2 linked regions of the Xenopus tropicalis genome follow. The protein of the gene in region 2 binds, or shares a complex with, the protein of the main gene of each other region. Links are inferred from orthologs where the notes say so. Each region holds a gene or a part of one and is shown on either strand. Other genes may lie near its edges.

Region 1 (4,947 bases), on a different chromosome or scaffold from region 2:
GTGGCAATATTAGGGCCAGAATTAGGGGTAGGCAGAAGATGCACGTGCCTAGGGTAGGGCGACCAGATCAGTTGAAAATTCAGGGACATGTCTAATAAATACATGTTGCAGGGCAGTACTGATTGCATTTAAAATAAACTGCTCAGTTCAGCCCTCACTGGTTTTTTTTTTAGATGTGTCCCACAATTTTCAAGTGATCTGGTCACCCTACCCTAGGGTGCAACAGGGGGGGGGCGCTAGGATAGGGTTATCAGATCACTTGAATATTCAGGCACATCTCTAATAAATACATGTTGCAGGGCAGCATTGATTGTATTTAAAATAAACTGCTTTCAGTTCAGCCCTGTTCACTGGATATTTTTTTTTAGATGTGTCCCTAAATTTTCAAATGATCTGGTCACCCTACCCTAACCTAGGGTGCAACAGTGGGGGTGCTAAGCTAGGGTTATCAGATCACTTTAAAATTCAGGCACGCATCTTATAAATACATGTTGCAGGGCTGTACTGATTGTGTTTACATTAAATTGCAATCACTACAGCCCTTGTAGCAGTTGGATTTTGTAAACTCGTCCCTAAATGTTTTAAGTGATCTGGTCACCGTACACTAGGCACAAACCTATTTTAACGCTTACCCCTAGTCCAGGCCCTTCTCCCCCCCACCATCTGCTCATTTCTAAAAATCCCAGCAAGCAGGGCTGAACTGATAGCAGTTTATTTTCAATCAGTACTGCCCTGAATATTCAGGTGATCTGGTCCCCCTAGCCGGCTTGGCCACTGGCAATAACCAAGGCTTTCAGCTATAAATATATAACATAAATGTCCCAATTCTGCGGCTCGGTGACAGCAGGAGAACCAGGCAAATCTATGTTCCTAGGGGAAAAACCTAGGTATTTGGTTATTAAGGAGAGCACCTTATATGTTAAACAGACTTAGCAACACTTAAAAAGTAACAAAACATATCTACTTAGGGCACTTCCTATTAAGATCAGAATTTACCAATAAGTTGCTCAGTTTTATGTCCATTTTAGCGCTTTGCACTTCCCTCGTAAATGAGCCCTAATAAGTTTCACCTTTGGAATGTAAAAACTCCTATAGAAAAGCCTGTTCTCTCTGGCTCTACAGAGATCACGCCCTATTGCTAGATGCCCACTGTACATACTAATTTACAGGTACCTGACAGTACATACAACATGATCCCTACATGTTTAAATGCACATGTCACCTTCACCATCCATTCAATGGTGTCTGCTCTCCTTTTCAACTCTATGATTCTAAAGGAGGGCTGTCTGTTACCACTCTATCTACTCAATGGTCACTCTGTCTTAATTGCCATTACATACAAAAATAACAATTTACCACTAGCGTGAAGAACCGGCAATGATCTGTAGTTTCACGTTCTCTAGTGTATTTCAGGGAATGTGCCCAAAATAAAGATGGCGCAAGAAGCCGATGACAGAAGGATGGCTCTATCATCTGATTGGTAGAAGGTGTAACTAAGGCGGCTAGTTACAAGGTTCTTCCGCTTGACGTCATTTAGCGCGACAAGAGGTCTAGGCCGGGCAAGATGGCGTCGGGAAGTGGGGTGAGTATGAGGGCTTGGTAAAGAGCCGCTGTTTGTTCTCTGTGGGGTTGAATTCAGACGGATAGTGGAGGCTGGTAGTGCCTCTTTAGTTTAGAATTTTCTAGCTTTTCCCAAAAAAACAGCTTCCAACATCCTTAGGGCGGAAGAGAGCATGTTGTGTCTATAGAGCAACACGAACAATAACAAGAGAGCCGTAGGAAGATGAAGGCTGGGCTATCATTAATTACCACCCGGGCATTAAAGCACTCCCAGTTGGTTCCCTTGTGTAATAAGGAACTTAGGCTGAACTACACCTCGCAGCACCAAATCCAGGGATTTCTAGGCTGCCTGTTGGGTGGGGTACGTTTTGGGTCTGGTGTGTGTAAATGTAAGTGTGGGTGAGTCTCAGGGGAGATCCCTCCATGGCTATTTGATTTCTGAGGGAATTCACATTTTTGATTTTGGATGAATACTGAAAACTCCACAAAAGGACTCCTCTGAATCACACACTGAATCCAGACCCTAATTTTCATGTGCAAATTAGGGAAAAACTATAAACTAAAAAACGAAAAATAAAAACTAAAAATGAAGTATGAAAAAATAAAACCACCTGCCTTTCATTGTCATGTGGTCTAAAATCACAGGATTCTTAAGGGCTTGGGTTTGGCTGAATACAATTCCTGGCAAAAAAGACTGATTTGGTTCATCTTTTTTTCTCGTATAATCTGGTTTTAAGAGGAAAATGCTTTGTCTTCGACTATGCTTCTGTTATAACCCCTACTAGCAGTGAAGACTGTTTTACCTTCCCTTTAAGGGCTCTGGCACACGGGGAGATTAGTCGCCCGCGACAAAACTCCCTGTTCGCGGGCGAATAATCTCCCCGAGTTACCGCCAGTTGCCATCCCACTGGCGACGATGTAAGTCGCCGGTGGGATGGCAAACGCGGTGACGCGATTTCGGGAAATCGCCGAAGTTGCCTCGCGAGGCTTTTTCGGCGATTTCCTGAAATCGCGCCGCTGCGTGTGCCATCCCACCGGCGACTTACATCGTCGCCGGTGGGATGGCAAATGGCGGCAACTTGGGGAGATTAGTCACCCGCGAACAGGGAGTTTTGTCACGGGCGACTAATCTCCCCATGTGCCAGAGCCCTAAAGGAGAAGAAAAGGTATGATCACTTTGGGGGTGCCAAATGATACCCCCAGTGTTTATAATTTCTTACTTTAGACCCTGGCCAGTGCTCCTGTTTGCTGAAAATGGCATAAGGGATGCTAGTCCAAATTGCTTTCCATTTCTTGGGTCTTTGATTCAGCCCTGGGCTTGTGCGCACATGTGTAGTAGAGTGAAAAGCTGTTGCACGGCTGTAAAGAGGGTGTAAAAGAAAGACGGCTGATTTTTTAGAGAGTAGTACTGGGTCAGGGTCTCAGGTAAGCTATTTTAATCTCTGGAAGGGGGCGCCCACCCAGTGATGTGATTTACCATCACATATTGTTTTCTTCTCTATTGATATAGTGCCAACATATTCAAAAGAGCTTTACAGACATTATACATTATTCTCATCAGTGCCTGGACTTAAGTTCCTTATCACATTCGCACAGCATACTAGGGTCCTTTTTTATCAGGAGCCGGTTAACATGCCTGGTTGTTTTCGATGTGTCTAAAGAAACACACTCAGGCATGGTGTGATCATACAGAATTCTTGCAAGTAGTGTCCAGACAGAGATTCTAACTTAGTGGACTTAGATTGTGCTCAGGCCCGGATTTGTGGCGAGGCCACAAAGGGCCGGGCCTAGGGCGGCACAAATTTAGGGGCTGCATGCCGCCCTGCTGCAACGAAAATGTAACATTTTGCTCCCATACGGAGTAATGGGGACTTCTCCCCACTGCTCCGTATGGGAGTTGAAAAGTCCGCACATGCGTGCTTCCGGCTGCACCAAGGGGGAGAGGTTCGTAGGGACGGCCTCGGGGCGCCAGGATTTGGAATCCGGCGCTGATTGTGCTTCTACAGCAGTGATCCCTAACCACTGGCTTGTAAGCAGCCCCTTGGTTGGTGCCCCCAGTGGCTTTAAAGTGGGAATTCCCAAATTGGAGGCAAGTTTTGGTTGCATACAAACCTGGTGTAGTGCCAAACAGAACCTCTTGTAGGCTGCTAGTCCACATAGGGGTTACCAGATATCCAATCATAGCCCTTACTTGGCACCCCAAGTACATTTTTCATGCTTGTGTTCCCTCTTCTGTAGTATTGTTGACTGAGCTGTTTGCAAAAGGGTGCAGAAGTTTTACATTAATACCCAAGCATGGAAGACCATGAATGATTTAATATGGGATTCTAATTTATATAGCGTTATGTTTAGTGGAAAGTAGGAGTGACTTGGCAGATAAAGCCTATCTGCAATAATTAGTTAAAGTCAGTATAATATTCCCTTAAAACCCAGTCTTTTGTTGTTTGTGTTAGGAATCTGATTTCCATTGTCATCTTCATCTTCTGCAGAGCAATGAAAGGGGATATCCTCAATTTTCTTTTTTTTTCACAGTTTCGCACTTTAGGCTGTCATAGAAATGAATTATTGCCCATTCCCAATAGGCTTTATTTTCATATCTATACATCTGATTCCATTACACAATTGGTTATTTCTGCCATGATAACTAAAACATGTGGTCTGTGTAATCACTGGACGTTTTGTCTAGGCAGTCAGATTGAAATCTTTTGGTTCCTTACTAGTTACTTTGAAATGTAAAAAGCTATGCCTCATCTGTGTAAAGGTGGCCATACACGCACCGATATTATCGTACGAAACCTCGTTTCGTACGATAATCGGTGCGTGTATGGCATGTCAGCGAGCCGACCGATATCGCAGGAAGCTGCTGAAATCGGTCGGCTCGCCGATCGGCCAAGTTAGAAAATTTTGATCGGGCGCCATAGAAGGCGCCTGACCAAAATTCTCCCTTCAGAGCTGAATCGGCAGAAGGAGGTAGAAATCCTATTGTTTCTACCTCCTTACCTGCCGATTCAGCCCTGAATGGTGTGTGGCGGATCTGACGATGTTTCGTGCGACCGACGGTCGTACGAAACATCGTGAGATCGCCACGTGTATGGCCAGCTTAATGCACATGTATTTGATTAGTAAATCTTTAACAAAATGAAAGGATGGGGCACTATATTGTGTTAACCCTCACCACGTCCTATCTCTTATAGTAGTACTAATAGTGTGGCATAAATTGTAGTGTGATTGTGACTAAGGCAACAAATGAATTGTGCTGACAATGTGTGGATTTTTGCCACCAAACGTAGACACACTCCTCCTTTATCAGTGTTAAAGTGTTTAAAGGAGAAGAAAAGGTACAATTGATGGGGGGCCAATGTTCCTGTTAGCAGAAAACTGCACCGG
Region 2 (4,578 bases):
GCTCTGGTACACTGGGAGATTAGTCGCCCGCGGCAAAACTCCCTGCTCGCGGGCGACTAATCTCCCCGAGTTGCCTTCCCACCGGCGAACATGTAAGTCGCCGGCAGGATGGCAGACGCGGCGGGGCGATTTTGGGAAATCGCCGAAAATCGCGCCGCCGCGTCTGCCATCCTGCCGGCGACTTACATGTTCGCCGGTGGGAAGGCAACTCGGGGAGATTAGTCGCCCGCGAGCAGGGAGTTTTGCCGCGGGCGACTAATCTCCCCGTGTACCAGAGCCCTAAAGGAAAATAATTACTTGTAGGGGGTGCCATTATGAAATACTAATCTAAAAAGCCCAAGGCTAGCACGTCTTTGTTAAAACTTGCACTGACCCAGAGTACTTTCTCCACAGTGCTCAACTGCCATCTTCTTGCTTGTTTCCAGGCTTTCACTGTGTTGACCAAAGCTAGCCACATGCATCACATGTTTTATAAAAAGGGTCCATTCAGAGTGGAGCAGGCTACAGATGGTGCATAATGTACCTCCCAGTGATTCTTATTCTAATGTCAGACGAGGAGTCTGGCATATATTTACGGCAAGCTTAAAATCCCTTTCCGAAAATAGCGCCATCCGCCTCCTACCTGTGCCTGCATCTGAATGAATGGAATACGCTCAGGAGCAGGCACATGAAGCCGATATCTGCCAAAAAAACGCGAGACTTCGTATCTTCGGCGGATATAGGCTACACGTGCCTGAACCCGAGCGTATTCCATTCATTCGGGTGCAGGCACAGGTAGAAGCGTATGGCGCTATTTTCAGCAAGCATCTGGGCATTTGCCTTAAGTCTTTCCAGCAATTACTTGAAAGTGGTGGTATGTTGTGATAGGCTAAGTGGTACACGAAAATCATAATATATTGATATAAAAGCCTACAACATTAAATAGACTAACAATGAGCAATTTATTAAAAAAAAAAAATAAAAGCAATCAAAAGACCAATCATTTAATAGCATTCCAGAATTGTTCATGGTTCCAAAAGCTACAAATCCTTGAATTATATACAAAAAAGTTCTTGACTGTAAGAAGTACATGATTTTTTTGTTACTCATTCCCTCTTCTGCTCTTCTTATGACTTTTCTTTGACCTAAAAAGAAAAATAACTTTATGCATTACATTTGTACTTCAAAAAATATTTATACAGGTATAAGACCAGTTATCCAGAATGCTCGGGACCAAGGGTATTCCGGATAAGAGGTCTTTCCGGAATTTGGATCTCCATACCTTAAGTCTACTTAAAAATCACAAAAAAATTAATTAAGCCCAATAGGGTTGTTTTGCATCAACAACAACAACAAACATTTGTAAATAATAAGGATTATTTATATCTTAGATTGGATTAATTACAAGGTACTGTTTTGTTACTACAGAGAAAAATTCTGAATTATTTGATTAAAATGGAGTCTATGGGAGATAGGGCTTTCCGTAATTCAGAGCTTTCTGGATAAAGGGTTTCAGGATAAGGGATCCCATACCTGTACAGACATTCTTCTGGTATTCTGTATATCACAATCACTTGAAAATAACCTGATTATTTTACCAGATCCCTTTAAAAACATATTTTATTTGGAATGTAATAGTTTAAAGCCCACAAGACCAGTGTCTGACTAATAGCAGCCCAGCTTAAAACAAAGATATCAAACTTAATCTATGTGAATGTTTGTTATATTTAGGATTTAACCTGGATGGCTTATAGTTGCTCAAGGAAGATATTCGTCTTATGGGTTTTCTCAGAAGACATCAGTTATTTTAGAATGTTTATATACATTGTGACATGCTATCTGCCTGTACACGTAATTTTTTGGGGGGAATTAGCAATGGTAAGCAGGGTAGCAGAGGATCAGAAGCATAGAGACAGGGACTCCATTTCATGAGGCAAAAAAAAAAAAATACAGGTCAAAGTTCATCAGCACCTTCCAGGGTAACTCTCAGACTCTGGAACCTTGTCCCGGGCTTCTCACAATCCACAGTGACTCTAATACACAAGAACACTCAGGCTACTCACCCAGCCCTGCTGTCTCTCCCCTCCTGGGATACCAGCTCGCCAGCCTCTGACACATTTTGGCTTCTCATTAGGCCTTGTTGTTTTGTCACGCATACACATGGTCACGGCTCTCTCTACTCCTTGCAGTGGTAGGCAGCACCCCCAGCCCCTCTGGGAGTTCCTTGCACAGACAAGCAACCTTTGTGCCATGTGCCCTGCTCTGAGAGACCTTTTCTCTGAGTGACCCTTCCCTTGGTCACAAATGCCCTCTCTGCTCCTTGCAGTGGCAGGAATCACCCCCAGCCCCTCTGGGAGTTTCTCACAGGCAGGCAAGCCTTGCTGCCCTGTGCCCTGCTCTGAGAGACCTTTCACAGGCAACCAACGCCAACACAGACAGGAAACCTTCCTGCTCTCAGAGTGAAGCCCTTTCTGTGAGTCAACCTTTCAACCTATGCTGTGTAATCCCAATGTTCTTTTATTTGCTGCTCCCCTGCAGCCTAATGAGGCAGCTCCCAACTGAAAAGACTTGAGTACAGAATGGAGGACCTATCCTACTCACCCTCCCCATTTACATCTCATTTATCCAGCTTTTCCTAACCCACTAACAAGAACACAGCACTACTTGGCTGCAAAACCAGGCATTTTTCCTGGTACTAACTATCTTAAATTTTACACCAAAATAGACCAAACAGTGTTCTTGTTCCTTGCATCTCTCACAGCATGTATGGAGCTTACCTCTCAGGTGACTTGGAGTGACTTCTGTGCCTGTGACTTCGATGATGTCCTATTTGGAGAAAAAAAAAAATTGGAAAATAAGCGTATTTTTTCCATCATATTCCTTAAACATTCAGTTTCTGAGGAATCATACCTGGAGATTTGGATTTGGATCGGTGTCGTCTCTCTCTAGACCTACTCCGATGACGCCTTGGGCTTTTGCTCCTATGTCTTTCCCGACGAGGTGGAGAAGGACTATGAAAGCAAACAAAAAGGTGGTGAACTAACAAACACAAAAAAAAAAAAACCCTGCACTTCTTACCCAAAATGGATACTATGTGGCACCACCTAGTACTTGAGAAGAGACTGAGACCAAGTAGTACTATGTAGAGACTCATGAAAGTAGTTACATCTCACAATGATTCTATTTTAATCAGCAACTTGTTTACCAATAGCTGTTTAGTAATCTAGCAATCCAGAGATCAGAACTCTCTGCTGCCACCAGTTAAGTAAATATTTAGGGGCATATTTATGAAAACTGAATCCCGAATGGGAAAAATTCGGATTGGAAACAAAAATTTCTGAAGATCGCAAATATCACAAAAATGCTTACGAAAAAAATCTTATTAGTCACGATAATATCATATTGGCGATCCGAAAGTCACGAAATTTTCGGACCGAACGATTGGACCGCTCCCGGCAGCTAATCTGCCCGTGCATGGTCACTACCAACGGGCCTGCCTGACCGATATCTGGCCTGAAACCGGGCAGATCTCGATCGTGCAGGTTAGAAAACCAAGTTGGATCGGGGACCACATCGGTTTGTTGATGCGGTCCCCAGACCGACTTTTCCTATGCCCATCCTGGATTCTCCCCATGTTGCCCAACCATATGTGGCGATATCAGGAGAAGATCCACCAAGACATCGCCAAGCGAGCGGATCTGCCCGTGTATTGGGACCTTAAGCCACCTTCCAGTGGATTAAACACCCCCTGAAATGCTGAATTCATTACACAAGCCAGTCTATTTTTCTATTAAAAAATCTAAAACAGGGTAAATAAAGAGACTATTAAATGTGTCACAAACTTACCTTCTCCTTTTAGGAGAGCGACTGCGTCTGAAATAAGAAAAAACAAAAATATAGGCTCAGGTCAGTTCAAGTCTAAAACTTATAAACACCTGAAACAGTTTTCTATACATTATTTGGATAACCATTCCCAGAACTAAATAACATTATGAGGTAGATGCTTCAATATTACAAATTATATTTAGCCAGGGATCAATAACCAGCAATATTACACTCAACATGGAAGCAGATAAGAAGCCAGAAATATGGGGGGCGCTAGTGAGCCGCGATCTAAGATGGCCGCATCTTGATTGCGCTCTTACCGTGGAGGAGATTAATCCCCAAGCAATCACCGCGCAGATGACTTTTCGGGTATAATAACGGCACACATAAGAACCAGATACCTTAGACGACCTCTGGATGGCACATAAAAGACGGAAAAGGGAGAAAAAAGGGTCTAACGCCTCCCCGCTCCGAACTACACGGAGCGTTGCGTCATACCTGGCTAGGCCACAAGTGGTAGAACCCTCACCAATGGCCTCCCAAGCAGACTCATGGCTAGAAGCGGACTCGCAGCCACTTCTTTCCACCTCAGAGTCACAAGCTCCCGTAGAGGAGTCTGTGTTACTGGACAAATTTAAAACAATGTTGCAGCAAGAGTTAGCCTCAACCGCTGCGACTATTACTGCAGACATCACGAAACAACTCCATGAGCTGGGGCAAAGAACAGACGCGATAGAACATAAAGTAGATGACATTACCACAGTCCTCGATGCT

What was found.
Region 1: prpf38a (region 2) and zmat2 share a complex: the UniProt entries of both Homo sapiens proteins name them as parts of the spliceosome B complex. The link is inferred for Xenopus tropicalis from reciprocal best matches to the Homo sapiens genes PRPF38A and ZMAT2.

Annotation. Positions count from the first base shown.
Region 1 is NC_030679.2:26,865,114-26,870,060, forward strand, and holds the start of zmat2 (zinc finger matrin-type protein 2), read left to right. Parts: upstream 1-1,551; 5' UTR 1,552-1,564; coding exon 1,565-1,582; intron 1,583-4,947. UniProt on the Homo sapiens protein: Involved in pre-mRNA splicing as a component of the spliceosome.
Region 2 is NC_030680.2:96,684,078-96,688,655, reverse strand, and holds the end of prpf38a (pre-mRNA-splicing factor 38A), read right to left. Parts: intron 3,853-4,578; coding exon 3,826-3,852; intron 2,991-3,825; coding exon 2,890-2,990; intron 2,806-2,889; coding exon 2,757-2,805; intron 1,125-2,756; coding exon 1,082-1,124; 3' UTR 923-1,081; downstream 1-922. UniProt on the Homo sapiens protein: Involved in pre-mRNA splicing as a component of the spliceosome.